4 linked regions of the Tamandua tetradactyla genome follow. Each later gene encodes a partner of the first gene's protein in a complex. Links are inferred from orthologs where the notes say so. Each region holds a gene or a part of one and is shown in the gene's direction. Other genes may lie near its edges. The genes, in order: SNRPD3, PRPF4, LSM7 and PPIH.

The links.
Region 2: SNRPD3 (region 1) and PRPF4 share a complex: the UniProt entries of both Homo sapiens proteins name them as parts of the U4/U6-U5 tri-snRNP complex. The link is inferred for Tamandua tetradactyla from reciprocal best matches to the Homo sapiens genes SNRPD3 and PRPF4.
Region 3: SNRPD3 (region 1) and LSM7 share a complex: the UniProt entries of both Homo sapiens proteins name them as parts of the U4/U6-U5 tri-snRNP complex. The link is inferred for Tamandua tetradactyla from reciprocal best matches to the Homo sapiens genes SNRPD3 and LSM7.
Region 4: SNRPD3 (region 1) and PPIH share a complex: the UniProt entries of both Homo sapiens proteins name them as parts of the U4/U6-U5 tri-snRNP complex. The link is inferred for Tamandua tetradactyla from reciprocal best matches to the Homo sapiens genes SNRPD3 and PPIH.

Annotation. Positions count from the first base shown.
Region 1 is NC_135331.1:25,394,325-25,401,563, forward strand, and holds the start of SNRPD3 (small nuclear ribonucleoprotein Sm D3), read left to right. Parts: upstream 1-4,113; 5' UTR 4,114-4,736; intron 4,737-6,148; 5' UTR 6,149-6,166; coding exon 6,167-6,292; intron 6,293-7,239. Other genes in the region: protein GUCD1, read right to left, coding at 178-262, 3,671-3,713. UniProt on the Homo sapiens protein: Plays a role in pre-mRNA splicing as a core component of the spliceosomal U1, U2, U4 and U5 small nuclear ribonucleoproteins (snRNPs), the building blocks of the spliceosome.
Region 2 is NC_135328.1:33,883,410-33,891,056, reverse strand, and holds the start of PRPF4 (U4/U6 small nuclear ribonucleoprotein Prp4), read left to right. Parts: upstream 1-4,373; 5' UTR 4,374-4,512; coding exon 4,513-4,539; intron 4,540-5,271; coding exon 5,272-5,455; intron 5,456-7,634; coding exon 7,635-7,647. Other genes in the region: anaphase-promoting complex subunit CDC26, read right to left, coding at 1,720-1,800. UniProt on the Homo sapiens protein: Plays a role in pre-mRNA splicing as component of the U4/U6-U5 tri-snRNP complex that is involved in spliceosome assembly, and as component of the precatalytic spliceosome (spliceosome B complex).
Region 3 is NC_135337.1:80,542,489-80,550,412, forward strand, and holds the start of LSM7 (U6 snRNA-associated Sm-like protein LSm7), read left to right. Parts: upstream 1-4,710; 5' UTR 4,711-4,734; coding exon 4,735-4,740; intron 4,741-4,822; coding exon 4,823-4,913; intron 4,914-7,924. Other genes in the region: SPPL2B (signal peptide peptidase-like 2B), read right to left, coding at 4,534-4,605. UniProt on the Homo sapiens protein: Plays a role in pre-mRNA splicing as component of the U4/U6-U5 tri-snRNP complex that is involved in spliceosome assembly, and as component of the precatalytic spliceosome (spliceosome B complex).
Region 4 is NC_135328.1:182,093,751-182,100,915, reverse strand, and holds the start of PPIH (peptidyl-prolyl cis-trans isomerase H), read left to right. Parts: upstream 1-3,915; 5' UTR 3,916-3,991; coding exon 3,992-4,057; intron 4,058-4,404; coding exon 4,405-4,469; intron 4,470-4,799; coding exon 4,800-4,823; intron 4,824-5,054; coding exon 5,055-5,099; intron 5,100-6,094; coding exon 6,095-6,137; intron 6,138-7,165. UniProt on the Homo sapiens protein: PPIase that catalyzes the cis-trans isomerization of proline imidic peptide bonds in oligopeptides and may therefore assist protein folding. Participates in pre-mRNA splicing.

The DNA of each region.
Region 1 (7,239 bases):
TCGTGGGACTGATCAGTGGTGCTGAGGCCTGGACACCCGGCAGGACCCCTGGCCCATCTCTGTAAGAGGGGACCAGCCCGGGGGGAAGCTGGGCCCCCCGCAGCGCCCTGGGGACAAGCAGTCCCACCGGGCCCCCCCACCCCCCGGCCCAGGGCAAGGCGCTGGCCGCACACTCACTGCAGCACCATCCTGGAGCAGGCCAGGCCGCAGTCCCAGTGGTAGAGCTGCTGGATGACGGGCACGGGCAGCTGCACAAAGTCCCCTGCACGGACACACAGGGAGTCACTGCTGCCCCGGCCACCCTGGCCTCAGCTGCCCCAGCAGCTTCCCCATCATCAGTCCTGTGTAACCCTGCAGAGGCAGCGTGGGGCCCAGTCCTCAGCCCCCATGCTGTCTCCCTGTAACAGCCAGTGACCTCCCCAAAACGCCAGGCCCCCAACGGGGGGGGGGGTTCCCTCTCTTCTTGGGAGAGTGCTGTTGTGGCTGCTGCCTTAATACCACGACTCCTTGCCTACCCTCGCTCCCACCAAGCCAACCCTCTCACTCCTGGTTGCCCAAGAGCCTGAGCTAAGACAGGACACTTACCCTGTGGGGCCCAGCTCCCCATTATATGCACGCACAGCCCCCCAAACCTCTCCCTCTGAGCCCCCTGGAACGAGCCCTGAGCAGGCTGTGTGGCCTCTGATCTGTATCCCAGGGCCGGCACGTAGGGTTACCCAGCAGACATGTAAGTCTGGATTCATAAGGCCCCTGGTACTGCCTGAAACCAAAGCCCCAGGACCACCCGAGTGCCACCTGCCACAAAGCAGGCGGGTGGGATGCCCTGCAGCTGTCCCTGGATGCCCTCTGATCCACCTTCACCACAGCAGTGAGGGGAGCAGAAGGGACCTGAGCTGGGCACCATGGGTGCGGCTCAGCCACCGGCGGCCAGTGCAGTGGGCAGCTGACTTCCTTGTGCTGAACTGGGGTGGGACTTGGATGTGATTCAGTCATTCAGTTGACAGATGTTTCCCGAGAGCCCACTGGGTGCCTGGCACGTGGACCGGAGAGCGGAAATGAGCTCGGTGGCCATGTCAAGGGTAATGGGAAGAACGGGTGCTAGGCTGGGGGAGACGGTGAGGGGTACCTAGGAGGGGGTGAGTCTGGGGGAAGCCCGGAGCAGTGCCATGTGTGCCCTGAGACCCGGAGGCTGAGCAGAGGGTGGTCTGTGGACAGAGAACCAGCTGTGCGCTGGGCTCGGTGAGCTGGCTGCGGCTCACTAGGACCATGGGTTCCTCCTCCTTTGGACTAAGGTCAGAGTCTAAAGAACCAAAAGGAACTCACCATTGCCAGCTCCCAGCCACATTACTCATTAATGACACCCGCCTGGCAAATGAAAACCCAGCCTGCTCTGAAGGTCTTGGGGGGGTGCTCCTGGGCTGTGCAACCCAGTCCCATGCCACATCATGGGGGGTCCTAGTGCCCCACTCCCCTACACACTCAGGAGGGGTCACTGGCTAGTCCTGGAGCCTGTCCTGGGCTTTCCAGCCTCTGCCTTTGCCTATGCAGCCCATCGACTGGCGGGCCCCCAAGCTCCTGTGCTCCTGCGTCTAACCGCTCCCCAGCCTTCGAGGCCTGGCTTAGAAGCCACCTCCTCCTGGGTGGGTGGGGGGTCCTAACCTCACCTGGCCATGCCCTCAACCTCCTCAGCACCCTGCCACACCCAGGACGGGAACTGTGCTTTCTGCCCTCCACCCCTCAGCTCACAGGGGCCGCAGCAAGACTACCGGGGGCAGGCCTGGGCAAGCAAAGGCCTGACCTCAGCACCAGGCCTCTGGATGGGGCATTCCATCCCTAGAGTCTAATGCTTAGCAACAACTCAACACCTTCGAAGGTGTCTGAATTATCCCCCCAAAGGGTTTGCCTGAGTGGAGGGTGCAGGTGCTGTGCCACCATGGCGTGGGGTGGGGGGTGCTTCTCTTTTCACGAACACCTTGCTGTCACCATGAACTGCCTTTTGGTTTTTCTCTACCCAGGCGGTTGACCTGCCCCCACCCCCTGGCCTTCCCCCTTGTAGATCCTCAGCCTGGAATGTCCTTTCCCATCTCTGAATGTCCAAATGCTCGAATCCCTCTCTGGGCCCCTCGGCGGAAACGCTGGATGCAGAGCATTGGCAGGAGCACCAAAGGGGGGTGGCTTTGCTCCCTCCAGGCCTCGGCCCAGGGTGGGCGCTCAGGCAAGCCTGGTGAGTGGAGGGTGATTTCCGGTGAGGACTTCACCTCAAGATGCCCGGGTCTGCCTGTCACCACGGCACCACACCCCCCTGCACCCCTCTCCCCCCGCCAGTTTCCAGACCACATCCCTCTGCTCGCAGCTGTCTTCTTACTCTGGGGTCACTGGATGACCTTTGGCCAGGCCTTCAACCCGGTCACTCTGTCCCCTGTGCCCACCTGCCAAGTGTGGCACCCCACAGCTCCTCTCGAGGGCCCTTGGAGACTCAGCTGCCCCCCGTCCTCTTGTCCTGAGCTCTAGAACCCCTTGATCCTGAGACCCCACAGGACCAAACACCCCCACAGGGCTGCCCCCAGCCTTAGCACGGGCAGGCCAGCCCATTGGGACCCAGAGAGGCTCCTGCGGGGGATGATAAGGGTAGGCAGGCCATGGCCTTCATGCCGATAACGGCTTCAGCCGCCCAAGCCCCACGCTGCCGCCGCATGTCGAGGCCTGGAGCCCAGGGAGGGCCACAGGAGGCCACCCGAGAGCCAGGGCCGGCCTGGCAAGGGAGGAGGGGAACTTGCCGAACTTCACACCCTCTGTCTACTCATCTGCAGAAGTGGAAATAGTAACAGTAACCTGCTTCCTTGGGTTGTTATGAGGGCTAATGCATACAAACAACTTAGCATGGTACCTGCCTCATAGAAGCCCCTACAAATATCAGTCATGACTCCACTGAGGGTGAGAACAGGCAACTGTCTTGCCTAAGACTGCAGAGTTAGATAACTAGAGGAGACAATGTGAATCCCAGTGGGCAAAAGACCCCCTGCTCCATGGTGCCACCAGAGGGGACTGCCACCGCTACCCCCCTCCACCACTGACACCTTAGGGTCAGGGTCCCCCTTGCTCATGACCTCTCCTATGATCCTTGGAGTTTGCAAACACTTTCCTTTCCCCCTCCCCCACTTCTCCAACCAGGCCCAGGGCACCAACTGCCAGTCTTGGGGCAGAAGGAAGAAACTAGAGGTTGAAAAATTCTAGCAAGACAAGGTGATGACCCAGGGGTCTGGGAGCCCAGGTGAAGGGGCCTCCTCTAGCTCGGCCCTCTCTGGCCACTTCCCTGCCCGACTCTGGGCCTCAGCTTGCCTCCAAGTTCCCCAGGGGACAGGGTCTTCCAAGGCGGCTCCCACTGGGCTTTCCACCTCTGATCATATCCCGGGAATCCCCACGGGCCGCTCCAGAGCTGACTGGGGTCCCAGCCCCGTGGAGATCAGGGCTCCCCGATGGGCTCGGGGCTCGGGGATGGGGGGCGAGGCGAGAGTGTCCAGCTAGACAGGTCTCACTCGAAGCTCTATGCTCGACCCCAGGCGGCGGTCGGCCCAAGGTCGCCCGGCCGGACCCTGCCTGCCCCGCCTCGGGGCGGGGTCCCCCTTCGGTCCCCCGGGAGAAGTCCGAGCCCTCGGGCGGAGGCACTGACCCGGCTCGAGCGGCGGTCCCGCTGCCTCCGCCTCCGTCCTCATGACCCGGGCGCGGGACGCCCATGGCCCCAGCCCGGCGCGGGCGGCGGCTTCGGCTTCGGCTGGGGCGTGAGCGCAGCCCACGACGGCCCGGTTCCGCCGCCGCCACCTCCGCCACGGCGGAGGGGAGAGGAGGAGGCGGCGGCCCGGCCGCCCCCGGCCCCGCCCCGGCCTTTCCAGGCCTCCTCCCGGGAGGCCCCGCCTCGCGCCGGGGCTCCGCCCTGGCCTGTGCCCCTGGAGGCCCCGCCCTTCCCACACCGAGGTTTCCGATAGGTCTTCGGCCCGTTGAGCTACGGCCGACTCGACCATTCGTAGGCTCGGCTGCTGGTTGGCCCTGCCCCACTCCTCACACCGACGCCTCCGTTTCCCGGAAGACCCGCCCCCGAAGCCCAGGCCATCGGCCCGCGCGGCAAGTCCCGCCCAGCCGGGTCTCGGTCCTTAGCCGGCCTCAGGTGGGCGCCGCAGGGGTTCCAAGAGACCTAGCTCTGCCCAGACCCCCCAGACGGACCGCAGTCTACTGTATACCTCGGTTTCCCTTTCTGTACAATGGAATACCTCGCGCCACTTACCTGGAGGCGCCAGGTTCCAACGACTAAATTGTGAAGGGAGGTCCCGGCCCTCCGCTCCACTGCCTGCCGTCCCCGATCTGAGGGCCGAGGTCCCGGATGCCCGCCTTGCAATCCATCGCGTCCCTGATGCGGGGTGCCTGGAAGCGCGAGCTGCCCTCTCCTCTGGCCCGCCCGAGGGTCGGGGTTTCCGGCGGCACCCGGGCCCTGTCATCAGCCCCTCTCTTCTGGGGCCGGAACTATAGTGCCACAGCCTGCGTTTCCCAGCCGGCGGAGTGAGGAGGAAGCCGAGGCGGGACCGCGCCCCCCACTGGAGAAAGGGAGGGGCGGGCCCTTCGCGCGGCATTTTGGGAACGCGGGGAATTCTGGGAGCGCGGGGCCCGCCATTCGCTCTCTTCACGCCTTCGTCGACACTCGAGTTGCCGCGTTACAGAAGAGGAGGAAACGGAGGCCGGAGCCGGTGAGGGAAGGCTGGAAATGGGTGAGGGGAGGCGGAGGCTCCCTGGGAGGGTTGGGGGCTGGAGAAGGCCACGCTGCCGAGAAGCGCCGAGGGTTGAGGGGAGGGGAGAGAGCGGGAAACCCGGGCCACGCAGCGTCAGCTTCGCGTTCACTTCTCCCCAGCTTTCTGGCTTATTTTGTTTGTTTCTATCCGAGTCAATCGTTTTCGAAGCCTCCAGGCCATAATCTCGACATCCTCTCTAATTGAATGTTTTCCCCTCCCCCCAACCCCCAGTCTCGTGTACGTAGTCATTTTCGGAAGGTAGGCACCGAATCCTTCTCCTCGTGCTTTCCACACTGTCGCCGGACCTTTAACAAGTCTCTCTGCTTCTGAGCTATATGTTTAATTCATCCTGTAAATGCTGCTTCCTTTTCATGGGGTCATTCCTTCCCCCGTCCTGCAGCAATTGGTTCCCTGCTGTCTGCAGCACAAAATTCGAACTCCTAAGGCTGAAACTCAGAGGTCCTCACCCAGGGAGCCCATCTTTCCCAACCTGAGGGCCCCTTTTCTCTCCACGTACATCCTTCCCCTTGCTTTCTTTTGGATGCACATGATGTGTTCCAACCTTCATTTTTGCTCACCTCAGAGTAAAAAGTCCGGTGTTTTTGCTTTTTTTAATTAGGTCAAGCCAGGCCCTTGCCCTGATTTTTCTGTCCTCTAAGATGAGCATTGTTTGTTTAAAGCAGGTTGTCATTTTGTGAGCACTTTAATGTTTTCTCTTTAGTCCCCGTGGTGAAGTGAATGGGGCACCAGTAGATACTCAGTGGATTGAGTTAAAAATGCAGCCTCCTCTCCAGGATTTGTCTGTGGATCCTTTGGTCCAAATCCACACTGTGCAGTTCGAAGCCACTGGCTGTTAAGCACGTGGAATGCGGCCAGTGTGGATGAGGAATATACTTTATTTCATTTCAGTTAATTTTAAATTTAAATCGTGACGGGCTGACAGTGCCAATTGTGTCTGACAGCTCATAGTTCTCAAAGTGAAGCATCACCCACAACCGTGTGTTGGCAGATGCATTGTGCAGCATATGCAGTTGCCCCACTCCCATATTGATGAATGATTATTTTGGTGAAGATAAAGGGACGTACCCTAGATGCCCCATACTGAAAAGTAGATGGAAAGTACTTTTGCGTTCCCCTAGTCTTATCTCTTTTCAGCCCCCCATTTCTCCCATCACCCAGCTTGCATGTGCTTCCTGGATAGACTCCTCCAAGCTGTGCTCTAAGCTCCTTTTTTCAGTAGTAGAAGAAAAACAGCTTTGGCATCTCTGCCAATCGTTTTGGAGTGCCAGGTCTTGAGGGAGGCATGGTCTGTCTGCAGTGCCTTCTCAAGCTCTGAAAGTTGAACTAACTGTTCTCTTTCTTGCTCTTAGAACTCTCTTCTCTCCAAGATGTCAATTGGTGTGCCAATTAAAGTCCTGCATGAGGCTGAGGGCCACATCGTGACATGCGAGACGAACACCGGGGAGGTGTATCGTGGGAAGCTCATTGAGGCAGAGGACAACATGAACTGCCAGGTATCTTGCTTGGCGCTTGAGGTTGTGGGGGAGCCTGGGCCTATGTGTTGGAGGACAGAAGAGTGATGATTGTGGGTTCTTTTAAATTTATTTTCATTCAGCAGTTATTTACTTAGTACTTAACGTGTGTCATTTTGTTGGAGGTGCCAGGGATGTGGGCATGAACAGGACAATCATGGTCTGGAGCAGAAGAGCTCTTTGGAAACTTTTTGTCCTCTATTCTCTCCTTCTCATAATTATTTTCTCCCATATCTTGGGGGCATGTTTGACAGAAGTGCCACTACTCCCCTCAAGAGACCATTTACCCTCCACATGTTCCCCTAACTACAGCTACTCACCTACTATGTGTATTTGCCTTTTTTTTCCCTGGGTTAAGAGGTTCTATTTGATTCTTCCAATTACCTTGTAAGGTAGGTAGATTTGGTGATAGTTTTGTCATCCATAAAATAGGGAGCGTGAGATTAAAGAACTCGTCTGCTGAACTTCACCCTGTTAATAAATTGCAGAACAGCCTCCTGGTGCCCTTCCATGTCCCTGTGTCCCTGGTATGCATTTTGTTATTTTTCATGTGGTTTTATATGGCGTTACTTTACAAAGTGTCTAGCACAGTTTCTTTGTTCTTTAAACAGCCAAGTAAGAGCTTGGGTTTTTAAATCAGTGAGAGATGTGTCTTTGAATCCTGATTGTATGACCTGGGGCATTTCAGTTTCCTCATCTGTAAAATGGAGATGATTTCACTTCAGGTACTCTGAGATGCACACATCAAGACAGAATTGGACATGCAAGAGATTTGTTTTGGGAAAATATCAATAGAGGATTAAAGGCAGGGAGGTGTAGACAGGTCTGATACCAGGGAAAGGAGGGGGGAAGGAGGGAGGGTTGAACAGAACAAGTATGGACCGCAGTGCAGCTCTAAGTAAGGCTGGTCCAACAGAGTTTTTTTGTTG
Region 2 (7,647 bases), on another chromosome or scaffold:
GTCTGATGGTTATGATCCCTGCATACTACATAGAAAACCAACAAGAGTGTTGTGGGATCTATATAAAAGGAACCACTGCCAGTGTGGACTAAAAGGGACAAATTGAAGGAAAAATAACTTCAATGGCAGAATCATGGAAGCTAAGATCTGCAGCCAGGAAAGCAGACCCACTTGGAGAGTGTGAGTTTGCCCCAAAGGCAGAGGGTGAGTCTTCCTCAATGTTCAAGAAGAGTTTTGGTGCCTCAGGCCTCAGAAAGGGTGGAGCACATTCTTCGGGGATTAGGAAGAATTTTGCTGCCTCCCTATTGTTCTTAGGGGGTTGCACATGTGCCTTGGAGATGGCAAAGAGCCCAAGGTGCTGCCCCAATGTTTGGAGAGAGTGGAGCTGAGAAAATAGCAGGGCTGCTGTATAGCCCTTGGAAAGGGTGGGACTGCTACTTTCTAAAGCCCCAACAATAAATGATTCTTAGATTTTGAAATCTACTGGAGTTTGCCCTGCAGGTTTATAGAATTGTTTGGGTCCAGTGAGCCCAGTGTTCTTTTCAACTTTTTCCTATAGAAATGGCAATATTTATCCTACAACTGTCCTTCCTTTGTATACTGGCAGCAGATAACTTGTTCTGAGTTTTACAGGTCCAGAGCCAGAGGAGAAATTTGCCTTAGAATAGATCCTGCCTGTAACTGACTTTTATGAGATTTTGTACTACTTCTGACTTTGTATTATATTTGTCTTGTTTCTAAAATGGTTTAAGACTTTGTGATATTATAATTAATGAATGTATTTTGTACATGGAAAGATATGTGTTTTGGGGATCCAGAGAGTAGAATGTGCCAGTTTGAAACTGTGATTTACCCCAAAAAAGCCATGTTCTCTAATCCTGATTCAGCATTGTTTATGGTGGTACCTTTTGATTAGGTGGTTTCTATGGAGATGTGTCTCCACCAATTCAAGGTGGGGTTGTTTACTGGAGTCCTTTAATAGGGAACCATTTGGAAAAAGTATCAGAGCTGACACAGACAACAGACCTTTGGAGATGCAGAAAGAAAACACCCCCAGGGAAGCTGTTTAAGAGGAGAAGCAGGTAAAGAAAGATAGTAGACGTCACCATGTGCCTTCCCAGCTGACAGAAACACCGAATGTTTCGGCCCCTTCTGGAGTCATGTTATTTTTCTCAGGATGCCTTAGTTTGGACGCTGTTATGGCCATAGAACTGTAAACTTGCAACTTAATAAATTCCCTTTTTAAAAGCCATTTCATTCCTGATATATTGCACTCTGGCAGCTTTAGCAAACCAATAAAGGGAGGCGGGGGAGATTTCACACACAGAAGAGGAAGAGGAAATGTGACCATGGAAGCAGAGATTGAAGTGATGTAGCCACTAGTCAAGGAATGCCAGAGCAACAAAAGCTAGAATTAGAACGCAACAGCTTCTTCCCTATATCCTCTGAAGTATGGCCCTGCCAACAGTCTGTTTTTGGCCCAGTGATATTAATCTCAGATTTCTGGCCACCAAACTGTGAGAAAACAAATTTCTGTTGTTTAAACCACCAAGTTTGTGGTAATTGTTATGGCAGTCCTAGGGAACTAATATATCAAGTTTGAAATGCCTAGAAAGCATCCACAGAGAGATTTCAAATAAGCTACTGGTATTAAGTCTGAGGTTCTGAAGTTAGTTATCTTTTTAAATATTCCTAAGGAGTCGAAGGTTGTACTCTTACCTCTAAGTCCTTTCGAATGCTCTCAAATTCTTCAATGTCATCAAGTTTCAGCTCTAGGCGGGTTGGTTTTCGTCGCAGCATACTGAAATCAACACTAAGGGCCAAACCAGTGAATTATTAGCTGTTAAAAATAATAGACAAGAGGAAATCTGGAGAGGATAAGTCTCAGCCACACACATAGGTCAATTTGTAAGCACAAACCCTAAAGTGAATGTGGTGAAAAAGACTCATTTGGATTCACACAGACCTCTCAGTTTTTAAATGTATGGCTTACATTTTTATTACATGATGAAAACCACAACTCTGTAATTTCTAAAAACTCTTCAAGAACTTAAAATAGCAGGCCTATAAGAGAGAATTCTAGGCAATGATTACTTTAATCTCAGACTCCAATCACATTCAAAGAAATATACGAATGAAGTTGAAATGTCACATCTTAATTCAATATAGTTACAGGGAAAGTGGAACAGCCATTAAATTTAATCCACTCTACATGAGAATTATTGGGAGATTTGTGATCAGTCCTGAATGCTAAAATCAGTTTGCTAAATCTCATGAAAAGTTCCTCTAACTCACCAATTGACAGGGTTATCCTCAGGGTCTAAATGGGTAAGTCATTCATTCAGCAAACACATAGTTTGTGAGGAAAACCAATGAGAAATAATCATATCATAATGGGAATCATAATGGGAAATAATCATATCATAAAATAAGGACTCTGATGAGAGTAATGAAATGGCATCACAGAGGCAACTGATCCAGGCTGGGCTGAGCGTAGAGTAGACAGGGATGTTCGGGAAGGCTTACTGGAGGAGACAATGTCTTAACTGATTTCTAAAGTGCAGACAGAGAAAGGGGATTAAGGACAGTCCAGGCAGAGAGAACAAGTATGCAAAGAGTTTCAAGAGAGCATCTATAGTCTGAGAACCCAAGTAATGCTGTGTTAACAAAGTAACAAACATTTTTTGAGAAGGATACCAAACTTCCCCAACTGAGTTTAACTTCTGATGATCTTTCTACTATCCACAGTATCCAGCAGAGAGTATCTAATGGATGCACTCAATAACACAGTCAGTAAAAGTCTGTTGAATAAAATCAGAGATCCAAATAAAGAGAGAAAGGAAATGAACTTCTCTTACACACCATGCTAAGTTTTCCCACGATCATTCTTTACATTCTTATTTTAATCTCCACTGAAACTCCATGAAGCTGGAAAAATTATCCCTATTTTGAATATAAGAAGTCAAAGCAAGCTGTTCAACTTAGCTAACAACGTCAGCCTCCTATAATAACCATATGTACATCACAGCGTGAGGACTAAATGAGAATGATGTAAGCGAAAGGCATTTTAAAGTACAAATATAAATCATTATTACATGTATCTCGGATGTAACTAGGGACTTATGACATACACGAAGGATGAAATGTTCACTCCTCCCACCAAGAGTGGGGCAGATACAGGTAAAAGTTACGGTCAGTACAAAACGCTGGTTCATTACATTTCAAGTTTCTTTCTACTAAATAAGATACTATTTTCTACCAGATTCCAATGTAAGCAAGTGGCAGAAGAAGCCAAACTTCCAAAGACAACATAAAGGCGTGAATACTTAAAATAGAAAAAACTGCTATGTAGTTTGACTTTTCGCCAAACTGAAAAGATCGCCACTAGGGGGCAGTAGAGAGTAATATTGTACGTAGGTAAAAGCGCTGACTGGAGGCGAAAAAGACAGAGGTTCTAAATCCCACTGGTCTCTGCCTCATCTCCTACTAGGCTTTAGTTTCCTCATCTGTATCTGTACTCTGTTGTAAGAATTGAATGACTTAATGCAGATTAAGCTCCTGGCACATAATTTGGCATTTATTAAATGCTCAATAAATAAGCTGTTGTTATTATTGTAATATTTTTCTTAGTGGGGAGGCGAGCGCCTCAGTCCGACTCGAGCAACACCGATATTTTGAGAATGCTCGTCATACCCCAACTGGGAGCAAAAACTTTGTGTTATTCATCTCTGATACTCCAGCTGGGCACAGGGCCGTGCTTAGAGTTTCTTGTGTACAGATTACCTGACGCCTTCATAACCATCATCTCACTCTTAATCTGATACAAAGACCGTTTGAAAATCAACAATATCAGGCCGTGTTTCCACGGCCGGGTCCATATTTTATTGTGGGACTGGAGGGTTCCTCGAGCTCAATCTCCCGCTGCTGCCCAAATCCGCTACAAATTTACCCAGTCCGGAGGGAGCCCCTGAGAGAGCTTCTGGATCGACGAGAACAGCCCTCCTTCCCCAAAGCCAGGGGTCCGGAGCTAAGGTTTCCATGACAACGTGGTCCTCCCCTCCAGGACCAGTAAAGTCTCCCCTACGCCCGGGAGGCACTGCGGGCCCTGGAAGCCCTCGTTTCGCTCCAGAGTTCAGCCCGGAGCTGCGCCACTCGACGCACCTACCTCTTTGCAAGTTGGATCAGCTCGTGACAGTTCCGGGAACCTCTGCGCCCACCGGAATCGACCGCCAAGCCAAGAGGACTACACTTCCCAGAGTCCTCTGAGCCTCTCTCCCGCAGATCCTCGACTCCCGCGTTTTTTTCTCGGAGGTTCTACGGGTCACGCCCCTCAACGTGACCTGAATCTGTCCTACTACGACTCCCATCATGCCGCGCGCCGATCCGGGGCGCAGCGTCGGTCGTGCGCTCAGTTCCTGCCCGGGACGCAGTTCCGCTTTGCTATGCGCGCGGTGGACTGGCTGAAACGCCGATCTTGGTTTTCGCTGGAACTTCGCGGCTTCCGAATCCAGCATGGCTTCCTCTCGAGCCTCCTCCACGGTACAGAACTTGGGATCTCAGCTCCCCGGGAGGAAGCGTGAGAGGGGTGTGGTCTCTGCGGGATGGACCGTTAGGGAACGGGCCACGGTGGTAGAGGGTTGAGGAAGGCAGGCTGCGGGAGCATCGCAGAGTTTGACTGGTCCCTAAGCACGTACTCTTTATGCCTTAGCTCTTTTGCACCTCTCTCTGTACATCCCCGAACGGTAAACACTTCTTCCAACACTGGTCCAAAAACAGAGACCTGAAACAGGAAGATTTACGTCTGTGTAGACCTGTTACTTGAAATGAGGCTTTCTGACTCCAAATCTATTGCCTCATGTCCGAAAACGTTTGAGGTATAAACACCAGGAACATTGTAACTTTGTGTCCCTTATGCCATGGTTGGGATTTCAGTATTCTTGCCATTTCCCCGTGATGAGCAATAATCAAGGACGGATTCTAAAACCTAAGAAGAGATTGCACTTGCAGCCGAAAGAACAGGTTCCACTGCAAACTGCTAATAGAAAAATCTCCAAGAGGAATTCACTAACTTTATCCACCTCTTCCTGTCTGCAAAACTTCAGTGTTTGAGGGACCGAAATATGCCCCCAAATTGGGGAGGAATATCTTAATTGGTGTCCAACTTGTCCCTTTATTTGGAGAGGAAATAAGACTGACGTTCAGAATAAGATCCTGGGAATCCTAATAGGTTGCTAATATTAAGCCTTAAATTAATCCAGTTCTTTGATTTAGCAGGCAACCAAAACATCAAAGGCATCTGATGACTTAGTTGCCCCTGTTGTAAAGAAACCTCACATCTATTATGGAAGTTTGGAAGAGAAGGAGAGAGAGCGTCTGGCCAAAGGAGAGTCTGGAATTTTGGGAAAAGAAGGACTTAAAGCAGGAATAGAAGCAGGAAATATTAACATAACCTCTGGTAAGATGCAAACTGTGAGTTCATCTTTATCTTTGATGCTCACCTTTTCTGAAATAGCTTAGACCTACAAATTTTACCTTCTAGACCTAGATCACTAGTTTTACAGTATCAAAAAATTTCAGCTCTTAAACTTGCATGTCTAGGGCCATACTTTGCCTGCCCCTTTTACCATCATCCAGGGGGCATTTTTCTTACAGCCTTTCATGCCATTTTTCTTCCATGAATTATTAGTAGTTCTATCATGAATTTATTCATTGTGTATTTGGATTCAAATTGATTCCCTTTGCTTTCTGGAGATTTAGCATAGTTCAGGTATCAATTTAGAGCAACTGTGGCTCATATGTTCCCCCTTTTTAAATTTTCATCCAAAATGAAATATCTTCTTTTTTTTAAATATTTTTATTGAGAAATCTTCATACACATACAGTCCATACATGGTATACAATCTCAGTGGCTCGCAATATCATCACAGATTTGTGTATTCATGAAATATCTTAATTATAAAAGTTATTTTTTTCTTTTAAAAAAATTAGTATAGGGTGGGCCACGGTGGCCCAGCAGGCAAGAATGCTTGCCTGCCATGCCAGAGGACCCGGGTTCGATTCCCAGTGCCTGCCCATGTTAAAAAAAAAAAAATTAGTGTAGAAAATTTTATAATCTTTATTAATTGGTTTCTGAGAATTTTAGTAGTTATAAAAACATATTTATTTTTCATAATGAAACCATGATATGCAAAATGTTTTGTAACCTGTGCTTTTCAGTCTACATGTCTATCCATGTAGGTAAGTAGAAATCCACTATATTTTTAATATAAAACTATACATTAGTCATAAGAAATTCAAACAGTACAGAAGGTGTTCTAGTTTGCTAGCTGCGAGAATGCAGTATACCAGAAACAGTATGGCTTTTTAAAAGGAAAATTTAATAAGTTGCTAGTTTATAGTTCTAAGGTCGAGAAAATGTCCCAATTAAAGCAAGTCCCTAGAAATGTCCAGTCAAAGGCATCCAGGGAAAGATACCTTGATTCAAGAAGGCCGATGAAGTTCAGGGTTTCTCTCTCATGTGAAAAGGCGCATGGCGAACACGGTCAGGGTTCCTCTCTCAGCTGGGAGGGCACCTGGCAAACACGGCAGCATCTGCTAGTCGCCTCTCCAACTCCCCAGAGGTGTTTTCCTTCATCTCCAAAAGTCACTGGCTGGAGGGCTCTCTGCTTTGTGGTTCTGTGGCATTCTCTGTTGTGGCTTCCTCGTGACTCGGGCGTTGTTCTGTGCTCGCTCTGAATCTCCCCTTTTCTCCAAAATGTTTCCTCTTTTATAGGATTCTAATAAACTAATCAAGACCCACATGGAATGGTGGTGACACATCTCCACCTAATCTAGTTTAACAACCACTCTTGATCGAGTCACAACTCCATGGGAAAAATCTAATTTAAGTTTCAAACATACAGTACTGAATAGGGATTAGAAGAAACGACTGCCTTTACAGAATGGGATTAGGATTAAACATTGACTGTTCTAGGGTACATGTGAAAGAACTTCGTTGATCCTCCCAGACATGTTTTTTTACACACATGCCCTTTAGTGTAGCAACTTTAACCTTTACTACTGTTTTTAAACTTAACTGCCTCATCATTGTACCTCTCATTTTTGTATCCAAATGCTCATATTTGGTGTGGTTTTTAAAACTAGTTGCTCAGTTATCCAAAAAGCCTTAAAGTCACAAAAATATCGTTTTCACTTGACTAGTAACATTTGTAAGTGTGTTTATACTGGTGCTGTTTTAGATAATAGCTTTGGTGATTGTTAATAGCATTTCTATTTTTGTCTTCTGGATAGAAAGCCTAGTTAATTAACTCACTTGCTAGAAGTGTCTATACTCTCACTTTCTGATCTCATCCAAGGTAAGTGTTTATGTTAGGTATGAGATTGAGGTTGCCAGATGAAATAAGGGGTGGCTTGAACCATTTTCCTGCCTTTTAAAACCGTCTCATTATGTTTATGTGCTGGGCATAATTTAATAAATTGAAAAGGAATAAACTATGTCTATAAAGTACAAAATAGATTCGATTATTACCTTCCCCTAGGGGCATATAGGGACTCCAGTTATTAGAAATCATTTCTTTCCCTCTCTTTGAAAAAAGATCTGGCCATTATGCTGATGTTACGCGTTCTTTTTATAGGAGAAGTATTTGA
Region 3 (7,924 bases), on another chromosome or scaffold:
GGTGCACTTCCACTCCAGACAGGTGAGCACTTCACAGTATCTCATCGTTCCAGGCTCATAGGGAACAGCAGGCCGTGGACGCTGTCCCTGCCTCAGCTCTCCCGGAGTGGGAACTGGTCACTGCAGTAGCTCCACGGCCTGAACTGCACCACCCCCGGCCTCCCCAGACAGCAGCGGGTGCCTGTGGACCCCTCCAACCTTCCTCCCCACCCCCAGCCTCCCCTGACAGCAGCGGGTGCCTATGGACCCCTCCAACCTTCCTCCCCACCCCCGGCCTCCCCTAATAGCAGCGGGTGCCTGGGTACCCCTCCAACCTTCCTCCTCACCCCCGGCCTCCCCTGACAGCAGCGGGTGCCTGGGGACCCCTCCAACCTTCCTCCCCACCCCTGGCCTCCCCTGACAGAAGTGGGTGCCTGGGGACCACCCCCAACTTTCCTCCCCACCCCCGGCCTCCCCTGACAGCAGCAGGTGCCTGGGGACCCCTCCAACCTTCCTCCCCACTCCCCTTCCGCACACTCGGCTCCAGCCAAACAGCCCACAGAGCCCCTAGCCCCACCTGCAATGGGGAGCTTCTCGGTCTGGGCAGCTCCCCAGGGTCTACCAGTAGGATGAGGGATCCCAGGAGAGAAGCCTTATGCTAGACACTGCGGGGATCCCCCAAGGTGGCCCTCCCCAGCCCTGGCTGTCTCCTAGTGCCTGCCCTGAAGAATCCCCAGGTAGAGCCTGGCTGGGCCCCAAAGGGCCAGCAATGAGGAAGGTCCTCTGGGTCCCCCTGAGCACCTGCCCAGGTACAAACAGCCAGCAACTGCCCACCTGAGGTACATACAAGGGATAGGAACACAGACAGGAGGCTCCTGGAGGTTAAGGAGGGCTGGGCCTTCAAGGGACATGGCAAAGCGGGCCTGGGGAGGGGTTCGGATCAGACCAGGGGTCTTGATGCACATGGGCCCCTGGCTCCGGGACTCAGTAAAATCACATCGGGAGCTCCTCCTGTCATGCCTGCCAACCCCCGTTTTGTGGGATATGGGCTTTTAGAGGAAAAGCCCCACAAGACCACACACATGAGCCCCAGGCCCAAGCCTGGCCCCTCCCCAGCAGCCTGCTGACCATGTGCCCCAAGCGAGGGGCTACAGGGACCCCAGACACCAGCTCAGGCGCAGTGCCTTCTCTGTCATCTCAGGCAGGAGCCGGACCCCTGGTGCCAGCCATCAAATGAGAATCAGGCCCATCCTCACTGTGCTGGTCAGGGGCACACCCAGAGAAGTTGAGTTTTGAAGGTGCCCTGCCCTGAAGAAGCTGGGCAGGGGGCCACCATCCCTGCAGCCTCAGGAGGGAAGGGAGGGCCTGAAGTTGTGGACAGGGGTGCTGCACTAAGGTGGCTTCCCACTCCCCCAGCCTCTCCCACTGGCAAACCACTGGGTACCTCTTGACCCTGAGGCAGAACTAGGAGCCCCTTCCTCCCAGACTCGCCCCAGAGGCCACCCCTCTACAGCAGGGGGCCCGGAGTCTGTGCTGGCCAGATGCCCACTCAAGTAGGTCACGGCCACAGACAGGGCCTTGCTGTCAGCAAGTCTGCTCCTCGGCAGAGGTCAGAAACCAACACCCCACAGGCCAAATGCAGAGCCCCCTGCTTCTGTAAATAAAAGTTTTACAGGCACACAGCCACGCCCTCTCACTGCTTCTGAATGCAAAAGCAGAGTCCAGCGGCTGTAACAGGGCACATGCAGACGTATGGCACCCAAAGTATCCACTGCTGAGCGCTTCGCAAGACACAGCTGCTGACGCCCATTTTGTGGGATACGGGCTTTTAGAGGAAAAGCTTTCATTGTGTAAAATGAAAATTGATAGAAACTGTTCCTTCGAAAAAGGTGACTTAAGAATACAAAACAGCTTTCACAGGTTCTCCTTCCCAAAATTTGAAGAACTGCCTTCAAAAAAAAAAAAACTGTGATTTTATCAAACCTCAGAGAAGGCAAGCTCTTGCCTTGAATAGTTTTTCTCACCTGCTGAGCTAAAAGAACCAGGGAAGGTTCTTCAAAAGGATGCAGATTCTGAGTTCTCGTACAATCATTCTGAATTGGGAGAACCGAGACAGACAGCCTTCCAACACCTCACAGCTAACACACACTCAGGGGCTCTGTAGCGGCTCCATGGACACATAAGCCTCAGGAGAGTTTTAAAAAAAACTGATGCATCAGGGCTATGGGGCGGACTCCTTCTAAGAGATATTTCAGGAAAGGGTGAAAAACAAGGATGCAGGAACTTTGGAAAAAGATGTCATGGTGGCAGGGTGAAGGGGGACACTGGAGGGGGGAGGTAGGGGCAGGAGGGGCTGTGGAGGGTCCATGTGGGGTGAGGGGGCTACAGAGGGGTGGTAAAGGGAGCTTGTGGGGGCTGCAGAGGGGATCTCTGATCAACTCAGGCCTGAGTAACCAGCCCCGCAGGCCTCTGCATCTCCTCTCACAGGCTTTGTTGTTACTGAGAAGGGGGATATAATCTGGAGAGGCCGACTCACTTGTCCAGGGTTACCAAATGGTGGCAAGTGAATGTGGGATCATCATCAAGCAATCTCCAAGACAGCCAGTCTTGGGAGTCAGGACTCAAACACCCCCGCTTCCACTGCCCTGACTCAGAAGCCAAGTGGGCAGAGCCCCAGAGCCGCAGTCAGCATGGGCTCCCTGGTATGCCTGTTGCAACTAGGCTATTGGGAGGGTAGGGCCACGTCCCCCTGGCACTCCTCAGGAGCATTCCTGGGCTCCCCATGCTCAGGGCAAAGCATGAACACCTCAGCAACAAGAGCCCTCAGAATCTGGTTCTAACCTGTCTGGCCCATGCCCTGAACTCCAGCCCTGCCTTGTGCCTTCTGCCTGCAGCTTTGCTGGGGGACCCCATTCCCTTCCTCCATTCCAGGTCCATCTGTGCCTCCTTCACAGCGACACCTCCTCCAGGGGGGGTAGGTGAGCTCCCCTCATACCTATACCACCCTATGCACCAAACATAGCAAGCCCCCTCACCAGTCCCTAAAATAAGTCATCAGCCTTCTCACCCACTGTTCCCACTGCCTACAACAGCCTCTCCCTTCCCAACCTGGCAAACTCCTACGCATCCTTCAAAACACTCCTAGGGGGTCACTGCTTCTGAAAAGCCTTTCCGGGTCATCCCCTCCATGGCATTCCCATAATGCATTGCCCATTTCCTGCTTTTCTCTCATTGGGAAGATCTTCAGAGCTCAAATTCCCCTATTCAAATTGCTCACGAACTGGTGAGGAAGGCCAGAAAACAGAGTGTGATCAGGCTACAATGGGGGAAGAAGGGGAGGGCCTGAAGCAGCTGGGGAAGAGGTATCTCTGCACTTGTGAGACTGCAGGACTTGCAGGGCCAGAAGTGGAGGAGGGGTATTTGAGGGCTATAAAAGCGACTAGAGCTCAAGCTGTCCTCCATAAATGCCTCCCCATTAGGGAGAGCTGAAAAGGGAGGGAAGTTCCCAGAGCAGCCGGATCACAAAGAAAGGCCTTTCTCAATGAGACAGGAAGCCGCTGGAAGCTCTCATCTGGAAGTGACCAGAGCTGACACACATTTGGAAAAGATTGCTCCTGCTGTGTTGCAAATGGCTTGGTAGGGGATTGCTGGGGGAAGTCAACAGTGGCCAAAGGGAGATCTGACAGGAACTACAGCAGAGAGAAGCAGACTGAGAGGAGCAGAGAGATTCGAAAGACCTTTTAAGTTAGAATTGCAAGAGAGGAGTCAAGGTTAACTGCCCACCAGCGCATCTGGAGAGCTCTTAGGGGCACTTTTGCCTGGGCTGCAGCGCTTGGGAGGAAGGGAGAGTTTGGAAAGATGAGTTTATGACAATACACATCAGCTACCTCCTTGTCCACTCTATCCTTTAGAACCAGAGCCCCTTAACGCTAAATAACAACATACTGAGCCCAGCAGGCTGGTCACTCCTTGTAGCATAGGAATGAACCCACAAAACTCTCCTCTCATCCCCCCTTTTACAGACAAGCAACTGACCCCCAAGAGGGAACTCCCTTGTCCAAGGTCAGAGAGTAAAAGGGAGCGGGGATTCGCTCCCCGACGCTGCCAGGCCTACGGTCCTGCCCTGCCTTGACCACAATCCCTGGGAGGAGTGCTAGCATCATGCCCGTTTTTGCATACGGGAAAACTGAGGCTTGGACAGGGGCAGCCACCTGCCCCAGGCCACGCAGCCGGGGAGGGGCGGACGGTGACTCCGAGACCGACAAGCGGAACCGTACAGAAGGGAGGGACGGGGTCCCGCAAACTACAACCCCGGCTGGGACGGAGTGACGCTGTAACTGGGAAGGATTTCCTCGACGGGGAAGGAGTACAGGCCAGAGAACAGCCCGCAAGGTCACGGCCGGTCCCCAGACCCCGAGGGCCGCCAGCGCGGGGTCGCGGGTCCCCGAGGCTGGTCCCAAGCCCGGGCCGGGTGGGTTTCTGCTAGGGGCCCGAGGGACGCGGAACGGGGGGAGCCGCAGCCTTCGGGACTGTCGGGCCCGGCGTGGCCCTCACCTGGGCCGCGAGAAGGAGAAAGGCGGTCCCGAGCCGCGCCAGCGCCAGCGCCGCCGCCGCCGCCGCCGCCATGTCAGCCGGTCCCCGCCGCAGCCGTCGGCCGACGTTTCCCGGCAACTCCCGGGGCGCCGGGGCGCTGGGGCGCAGGGGCGCGCATGCGCCAGAAGGCCGCGCCTGCGCAGAGCGGTGCGGGGCGGCAAGATGGCGGTGAGCGCGCGGAGGTGTGCCGGGGCGGGCGGCGCGAGGCCGAGACACGCTCTCCGCCTCACGAGGTCTGCTTTCCACACAGGACAAAGAGAAGAAGAAGAAGGAGAGCATTTTGGATCTGTCCAAATACATCGACAAGACGATCCGCGTGAAGTTTCAGGGAGGCCGCGAAGGTGAGGACCCCGCCACCCAGCACCCTCCTTGAACAATTTAAAATAAATAGTAACATCAATTATCATAACTTGCACTTAGGCAGCTCGTTCAATGAGCAGACACGGCTTTAAGCGCTTTAGATGGACTAACTCGTTCAATCCTAACACCGGGAGGTAGGTACTGTTGTGCCCATTTTGCAGACGGGGAGACTGAGGCACAAACTTAACGCAAAGTCACAGCGGCGCGGCCAGGATCGGGATTCACGAGCTCGCTTCCTTTGCGGTCTTGTCTTTCCATCTCCTGCCAGGGGGAGGGGGGCGCCCCGGGGTGGGGGGGCCGCCCCAGCACCTCACTGGTTTGCCGGCTATGTTCATGCCCCCCCTTCCTCAGCCTCACCGCAGTTGACCCTGGGGACCTGATAGGTCCTGGGCACTTCAGGATTTTGACTTGCATCCCTGGCCTCTACCCATTCGATGCCAGTGCCATGCACTACCACCCCCCATCCAAAAACGTCTTAAGTCGTTGGTAATTAATGTAGCATTGAAAACTAATACAAACGTGTTGAAAAGCAAAAGATGTGTCTCATTCATATATCCTGGCGCATGGTGTAGATTGAGTTAACATTTGTTCAAATTCAGAGTCTTACTTCTACCAAATACCTAGTCTAGCTATCACTGCGCTGCATTGCCAAATTCCCCTGGGGGGCAAATTCGCCCCAGCTTGAGAATGGGGCCCCACCTTCAGTCTCCTCTCAGAGGGCAGAGGGACCTGTTAAAAACAGAAACTGAATCTCAAGTTGCTCCCTGCTGACTCCTCTTTCTTTTTTTTCTTTTTTTTTTTTTTTTTCACATGGGCAGGCACTGGGAATCGAACCCGGGTCCTCTGGCATGGCAGGCAAGCATTCTTGCCGCTGAGCCATGGTGGCCTGCCCTGGTGACTCCTCTTTGTTTAAGATAAAAAATGGCCTGTGGGGTGGGGCGTGCAAGGGGGGGGGGGGGTGCAACCTGTGAAGCACGTGTTTTTTCTTTATCTGGAATGTTTGTACCAGAATAACTCCCAGAGTCATTCTCTTTCTCCCAGATCAAGGTTGTTGTCTCTGGGAAGCCTTCTCTGCCCACCTCCATCCTCAGGCAAGGCCCTTGGTTATAGGTTCCTGGTAGTTGCCTATCACAGTTTGCGAGTTTATGCTCCTTAATATGATGCTTAATCTTGCAGCTGACTCTTTGACTGGAATCTAAAAAATTCTACATGGTAAGTGCCCTGAGGATAGGGACCAAGTCGAGTTCTGCTAACTTGTGTGGGCAGTGGCTCTGCTGTCTAACTCTGGGTTCTGGTTCTAACCCATCAATTAGATGGCACAGGTTAGAATCCCAGCTCTTCCACGCGCTGGCTGTGGGACTTTGCACAAGTTACTATCCTCTCTTAGCCTCAGTTTCCTCATTTGTCAAATCCTTATCAGGTTGTGGTGATAATCAAAGGGCATAAGGCATGTTTAGCAGGGTACCTAGCACATAGCTTTTTTTTCTTGTATAATATATATACAAAGCAAAGAAAAAAGCAATAGTTTTCAAAGCACTCTTCAATAAATAGTTACAGGACAGAGCGTAGTGTGGGACATAGCTTTTGACCACATTTCATTTATTCAGCAAACTTTGAGCCTCAGTTTCTTTATTTCACAGGACAGATCTCCTGATCCCTTCTTCCCCAAGGTATAGGCAATTGGGTAGCATCTGAGATGTTGAAAACACAGCGCTTGAAAGAGTAGGTGCCTGGCAGAATTTGAATAGAATTTGAATCCAAATAAATGTTGGCTCAATTTATACTATGCTGGAACTGGGATATACGGATGAGATACAACTCTTGCTTTTCAAAACATTTGCCTTAGTTTTCTATGCTATGTACCAAATTACCACAAGTGTAGCACCTTAAGCAACAAATTTATGATGTCTTCATTTCTGGAGGTCAGGAGTCCAGGGGCCTCTGTCTCAGAGTCTCCCACAAGGTTGCAATCCAAGGTGTTGCTGTGGGACCACGGCCATCTCAGGTACAGGGTCCTTTTCCAGGCTCACTGGTTGTTGGCAGAATTCAGTTCCTTGAATTTGTTGGACTGAGATCCCTGTTTTCTGTCTAGTGCCCTGAGCTCCCAGTCCACGTGGCCCCTCCACCACCTGGCTGTTTGCTCCTTCAGGGCCAACAGGAGAATCTCGTAGAACAAGTATAGTTACTAGTACAATTATAAAAGTATTCTTTCAAGATAAAAGTGTCTTTCATGAAGTGTAACAATACGCTACACTAATGGAAGGGATTAATAGTAGGGCGATATATGGGGGCCCTGAATCTTGTACATGATTTTTCTGTAAACCTACAATTTCTCTAATCAAAAAAAAAGTGTCCATTCCCTTTATGGGCTCACCTGATTAGTTCAGGCCCACCCCAATTAATCCGCCTTTGGATTAACTCAAAAGTCAACTGATTTTGGAGGGTGCAAGGGTAGCTCAGTGGTAGAATTCTCCCCTGCCGTGCAGGAGACTTGGGTTCGATTCCTGATCCATGCACTTCCCCCAAAAAAACAAACAAACAAGCAAAACAAACACAAAAATTCAACAAATGGTGCTACAGTAATGGGATACTCACATGGAAAAAGAATGAAATTATTTTTCTTTTTTTTTGTATAGCATACAAAAAAAAACAGTCAATGGATTTGGGGACCTTAATTATGTCTGCAAAATATCGTCATCTTTATCACATCACTTAATCACAGGAGTGGCATTCCCATCACATTCACTGGTCCCATCCCGCACCCAAGGGTGTGCCCACCTACCACAGTGCTCCTGTTCCATGAAGGGTACAGCCCCACACAGGGGCCCACTGTGTGTCAGGCCCCAGGCCAAGACACTCACCATAAGCCTGGGAGGTAGCTGTCCTCATGATCCTCATTTTACCAGGCAGGCAATCCAGTAAAAAGACAAAAGAATTAGAGACATGTGCACATAACAGAGCCCTCAGATACATAAAACAAGACCTGATAGAA
Region 4 (7,165 bases), on another chromosome or scaffold:
GGCCTGGTTTACAGATGGCTCAGCACGATATGCAGGTACCACCCGAAAGTGGACAGCTGCAGCACTACAACCCCTCTCTGGGGTGTCCTTGAAGGACAGTGGTGAGGGGAAATCCTCCCAGTGGGCAAAACTTTGAGCTATGCACCTGGTTATTCATTTTGCTTGGAAGGAAAACTGGCCAGAGGTGCATTTGTATACTGACTCATGGGTTGTTGCTAATGGTTTGGCTGGATGGTCAGGAACTTGGAAAGACCATAATTGGAAAATTGGTAACAAAGAGGCCTGGGGAGAAAGTATGTGGATAGAAGTTTCTGAGTGGGCAAAACATGAATATATTTGTGTCCCATGTGGATGTGCACCAGAGGGTTACTTCAGCAGAGGAAGGCTTTAATAATCAAGTGGATGAGATAACCCATTCTGTGGATACCAGTCAGCCTCTTTGCCCAGCCACTCCTGTCATTGCCCAATGGGCTCATGAACAAAGTGGTCATGGTGGTAGGGATGGAGGTTATGCATGGGCTCGGCAACATGGACTTCCACTCACCAAGGCTGACTAAGCTACAGCCACTGCTGAGCACCCAATCTGCCAGCAGCAGAGACCCACACTCAGCCCCTGATATGGCACCATTCCCCGAGGTGACCAGCCAGCTACATGGTGACAGGGTGATTACATTGGACCACTCCCTTCATGGAAGGGGCAGCGATTTGTTCTAACTGGAATAGACACATACTCTGGATATGGGTTTGCTTTCCCTGCACGCAATGCCTCTGCCAAAACTACCATCTGTGGACTTATAGAATGCCTTATTCATCGTCATGGTATTCCACATAGCATTGCTTCTGAGCAAGGAACACACTTCACAGCAAATGAAGTGCGGGAATGGGCACATGCTCATGGCATTCTCTGGACTTACCACGTCCCCCATCATCCAGAAGCAGCTGGATTGATAGAACAGTGGAATGGCCTTTTGAAAACTCAATTACAGTGCCAACTAGGTGGCAATACCTTGAAAGGCTGGGGTAATGTTCTCCAGGAAGCTGTATATACTCTGAATCAGTATCCGCGGTATGGTGCTGTTTCTCCCATAGCCAGGATCCATGGGTCCAGGAATCAACAAGGGGTGGAAATGGGAGTGGCACCACTCACTATTACCCCTAGTGATCCACTAGGAAAATTTTTGCTTCCTGTCCCTGCGACCCTGAGCTCTGCTGGTATACAGGTTTTAGTTTCAAAAGGGGGAGTGCTTCCACCAGGAGAAACAATAATGATTCCATTGAACTGTAATCTAAGACTGCCACCTGGTCACCTTGGGCTACTCATGCCCCTGGATCAGCAAGCCAAGAAGGGGACTGCATTACTGTCTGGGGTGATTGACCCTGACTATCAGGGGGAAATAGGACTGCAACTACACAATTGAGGTAAAGAAGAGTTTTCTTGGAATATGGGAGATCCCGTAGGGCGTCTTTTAGTACTACCATACCCTGTGATTAAAATCAATGGAAAACTGCAACAGCCCAATCCAGGCAGGTCTACCAATGGGTCTGAAACTTCAGGAATGAAGGTTTGGTTCATCCCACCAGGCGAAGAACCACGGCCAGATGAAGTACTTACTGAGGGTAAAGGGAACATGGAATGGATAGTGGAAGAAGGTAGTGATAAATATGAACTACGACCACGTGATCAGTTACAGAAACGAGTACTGTAATGCTGTTTTGTTCATGTTATACTATTTAAGTTGTAAGTTATCAAGTTTAAGAATGAATATTACCCAAGGACTTGCACCCTATTTTGGAGAGATTTAATGTGTTTCCAGTTATATGCAGGACAGTTAAGTATTGTCAGGTCAAAGAAAAAAATGTGCATTTTAATTTATTTAGAAATTAGGTATGGTTTAAGGTGATATATAGAGCTGCAAAGTTGACAAGGGGTGGACTGTCATGGTCAGGTTCATGTGTCAACTTGGCTAAGTGGTGGTACCTGTTTGTATGGTGGGGCAAGTACTGTCCTGTCTGTTGCGATGAGGACATCTCACAGAATTAAATCATGATCATGTCAGCTGCATCCACAACTGATTCCATTTGTAATCAGCCAAGGGAAATGTCTTCTGCAATGAGTGATGCTCAATCTAATCACTGGAAGCCTTTTAAGGATTCAGAAGAGATAGGCTCTCTTCCTGCTTCAGCTGGTGAGCCTCTCCTGTGGAGTTTGTCCAGACCCTCCACTGGAATCTTCGGCTTCACAGCCTGCCCTGCAGATTTTGGACTGTGTTCCTATAGTCACATGAGACACTTTTATAAATTTTATATTTGGAAGTGTTCCCTGTTGATTCTGTTTCTCTAGAGAACCCTAACCAATACAGCGGTTTAAAGCTATAATTACTCTACAAAAACTTGTTTTCAAATTTAATCCATTCCTGTGAGTGGGAACCTTCTGATGAGGTTATTTCAATTAAGCTGTGACCCAGCCCAATCAAGATGGGTCTTAAACCTATTACTGGGGTACTTTATAAGCAGAATTCAGGCACAGAGACAAAAAGCCACAGGGGGAGAAAGGAGAAGTTGCTTATCAATGGAACAGGAAGAGAAGGCAGAGAGCAGGAGGTGCCACTATGTGTCTTGCTGTGTGACAAGCTAATGACAGCCAGCCCCAGTATGCCACGGTCTTCAGGAAGAAAAAAAGCATCATCTTGATGACACCTTGATTTGGGCTTTTTCCCAGCTTCAAACCTTGAGCAAATAAATTCCCATTGTCTAAGCCAAACTATTGTATGATTTTGCTTGAGCAGCCCAGGAAACTAAAACAGACTCCAAGTCTTGACCCAGGTCACCTTCCTTCACCCAATTCATTGAATCTATTTATTGAATACTTATATGCTATTCAGTAGTAGGCACTGCAGTCTACAGCTGTGAACAGCCAGGCGAGTAGAGTCTGTGCTTCCATGGAGTTGATATCTTATCTGGAACGAATGTGTGTGTGGCAGGAGGTGAGATGTAGAGACAGACAATATAATTTCAGATACTGAATGGCATTAAGAACATACACTGATTGACCAATGGCTACTTTAGATTGGGTGTAAAATCTCTCCAAGGAAGTGATATCTCAGCTGAATCCTGAATTACAGGGAGCATACCCTGTCCCCACCGTTAAGATCTGGAATAGTATTTCAGGCAGGTAGCAGTACCAAAGCCCTAACACCCTAAGACAGTAACTATCTCAATAACTTTGGAACAGAAAGGAGCTTAGTAATTTGGCAAGTAGTACAAGAAAAGACCAGGTAGGTGGCAGCCAGATAATTTAGGCCTTTGTAGGAGGAATTGGATTCTATTCTAAATATGATGGGAAACCAGGAGTGGTTTTTAAGCAGAAGAGTTATTTTAAAAGCACTAGCTGCTGTGAGGGAAATGAACTGGACGGTACAAAAGTGTAAACTCGTGGCAGAATGAACTAAAATTTTAGTGTCCCGATCTCAAGGAAGGGCTGAATAAGTCCTATATGCCAAGCTGTTCTAAGCCTGAAGGATGAACAAACCAGAGCCTCTGCCTTCATGGGGCTCACAGACTAGTGGTCAGAAGGAAGAAGCAACCTGAGCGAAGGTTCAGAAGTCAGCTGCAAGAGTTGGTGAGGACCTTGGAGACTGTTCAATCCAAACCCCCTAGCCTAACGGAGACTAATTTGTACCGCACTTAGAGCCCTGTGAGTCGGGTGCCCGCGGACATTCAGAAAAAAACAAAACAAAACAAAAAAAACAGCAGCTTTTCTCCCCTGCCCTAACCCTCAGGACACCCAAGTTAGTTAACAGAATGCGAACCTGTTATCGGTACACGTCTGGGCGCGGGAGCCAGTGAGCTCACCAGGATAGGGGGCGGGCTCCAGGGGCGTGTCTCGGCCTCGGTCGCCTCTTCCGCGCCTGCGCCGCAGACGCCGACGGCAGGGCTGGGATTAGATTCGCCTGAACCCCGCGTTCCCGGCTTCTGCTTCCGGGTCGGAGCCATGGCGGTGGCAAATTCAAGCCCTGTCAACCCCGTGGTGTTTTTTGATGTCAGCATTGGCGGCCAGGTGAGACCCAGAGAGCCACCGAGCCCTGCGCCGAAGGAGAACTGCACGGGGCTAGGCAGACAGAACTGTTTAAGCCTGGGATAGCGGATTTGGGAAGCCAGAAAGTGAAATAGGACCAGAACCTACCACCCTGCCTGGTGGGAGGATGAAGGAAGAGGACTCGCGGATTCTAACCCCCTGATTGGGAAGGGGCTGGGATCAACGGAAGGTTGGGCTGTGTAGACAGAGGGGGAGCGATACCGAGCGGCACCGCGGGTGGGGAGGTGGGCCTGCTGTTCGTGCTCCTTGCTCCCAGAGGCCATCATGGTCTTAAACTGGGCCCTCTGACCATCTCCCGCTGGTTGCAGGAAGTTGGTCGCATGAAGATTGAGCTCTTTGCAGACGTTGTGCCTAAGACGGCTGAAAACTTTAGGTAAGGAGACGATCCAGCTCTACCGGATTACCCCCACCCGAAGATGGGCCCAAGTCAGTCTGCGGAAACGTCTGTGTGTCTCTGTCTCTGTCCATTCACTGCCCTTGAGACATATGATTCTTCTGGTTATCGTTTTGTCTGAATAGAACGATTTGATTGTTCCTGTGTCCGTTTACTTTGTTAATCTGCATACCTCGGTACCTGGACCTCTGGCCGGGTTTGCTGGCTCTAGGATAGCTGGCTCCAATATCTGCCTTTCCCTCCCGAGATTAGTGTTTTCGTGGATGTGTGATGATGTGATGACTGACTTGTTCACCCTTTCGTTTTCAGGCAGTTCTGCACGGGAGAATTCAGGTCAGTCTCAGTTGTGGTTGACTTTTCTTCCTGTTCCTGAGGGGTGTCCTAGAGCTGCAATGAGGGTCTTGGGGAATCGAATGATTGCCCAAGAGGCTATCTCAGGTCATTTGCCTTCCTTATCTCTCCTCGCCCCTCTTTAGGAGAGTCCTGTTGATTGGAGTGTGTGATAAACTGGAATGGCCTGTGATAGCCAGTCGTCATTCCAAATCTCTTTCTTTTTGGTTATAGAAAAGATGGGGTTCCAATAGGATACAAAGGGAGCACCTTCCACAGGTAAGTTTTTTGGCAAGCCATCTTGGGGCCCTTAAGAATTACTTCCTTGGGGCATTAGACTGTAAAGGCAGAGGAAAATACAATCAGAAACTAATTCTTGGATCTTGAGAAGAAATTTTTTTATTGACTTAGCAACTGATTTGAAGAATTATTAAAGATACCAACTCTACTTACACTCCTCCACTACTTCTTTTAAGCTATTTCAAAAAGAAGCAGCTACCCATAATTCTAATGTTCTGTTTTTTCATGTCCTTGTAGGTATGAATGCTGATTTTTAAAATACCACATTTAAGAACTAGTTCTTAAAAATGACCATGTATGATTACCTTAGGATAGTCAAATTCCTTGGGCCAGATGGAAGTGGAGTGTGGTAACACTCAGGTGTCTTTGTTTCATTTAGCATTTGCCTCAAAGTCCTCACTGTGGTTAGTAATGATATTAGCATATCGGACATTTAGAGCCATGGTCTTTGTGAGGCCAAAGCCTCACAACACAACTGTGAGGTGGTAGGTGTTATTATCTACATTCTACAGGTGAGGAAACTGAGGCTAAGAAAGGTTAAGGATCCTGTCAGGACAGTATCTAACATTTATTGAGCCCTTATGTGTATAATAGCTCATGGGTTAGCATTTCACATACATTCTCCGTTTTCTTTTTTCCCACAATTTACATCAAGCCCTTCACCTACCCTTTGCTTTGGTGATTATTTTGGTGGTTTTCCTGCAGGGCTTGAGCCCCTTCCTTTTGTTACTATTCAAGTACTGGATCATGCACTTCGGTCTACTCTAAGATGCTCTTATTTATAATTAAAACTCCTTTTTTTGTTAATAATCTTCTCAGCTCACTCTTTCCAGGAGAGAGTAATCATTTTGTGAGCGAGAATGATAAGTATTGTATTTTTTAAAAAAATTGTTAATCTGGTACTATAATGATAAAACCATGTTTCTAAACTTTAGAATCATCTCTCAGAATCCTTTATGCTCCCTCTGTTTCAGGGTCATAAAGGATTTCATGATACAGGGTGGAGATTTTGTTAATGTAAGTATTGTTCCTCTCCTATCAAAGACCTATGGGTTTGTTTTGTTGTCGCTGCTGCTTCTGTTTTGCTAGGGGACCAAGTCTTAAGTCTTGAAACAATAGCTAAGTTTGATGGGAGATAGTGATGGGGATAGTGATTCAGGATTGCCACTACTACTGCTAGATGATGGACATCAGCACTTCAATTGAATGACTTACATCCATGGTCCAAACCTCTGTCTTCTAGGTCCAGAAAGTGGACTCTCCCAACATACCTATTGATGATCAGCTCTAATCATCCCCTCAGACTTAGTTGACTTTTCTCCTGGTGGAGGTGATGGGGAGGGGAAGGGGCATCTAATTAAAGTCACATGAAGCTTATTTAGAACTCAGATGCCTTAAAATGGATAGAAGTAACTCCTTTTCCAATAAATTGAATGCTTATGTCCTTTTTTCCTTTCCATTCCTGGTATCACAGTGCCTGAAAACCTGAGTTTTTAATCAGAAGTTGATTAGTGGACAAGAGAGGTAGATAGATCTGAAAGGATGTTTCTTCTGCTCATTGGGAGAGCCCAGTGGAATATTCCTTCACTGATCAACACACCTTTCTTTTGACTAGTCAGTATGTGTCCTCTATATCAAGCTTCTCCCCCTCCCATCCCATTGGAGGGTACCAAATAAATCACCTTTTTTCTTTCTCAAACCTGTGTTTGTTCTTAACCACCCACTTATGTTCATGGCCTTGCTTTACTCATATTAATATTATTTGGTCATTGTACAGTCATATGGCTGTTTTCTTGGATCTCGGAGACTTTTTTTCTTCATGTATTTATTTAGAGTTTTTAAAGACCTCTTTCCTAGCCGATGTAGAGTTGGAAAAGGGTAAGTTTTAGGCTAAGTCGTGCTTCCAGGTGCATTTTGTCTCATCTGTAAGGTGTTGTAAAAATGGGAAAATGTCACAAAAATTCTGGAGTTGTGTTTTCTCTTAAAAAAATAGAAGATAGGGGTACATGAGGCCTCATGTTTCCCACATAGCCTCATCGATGCAA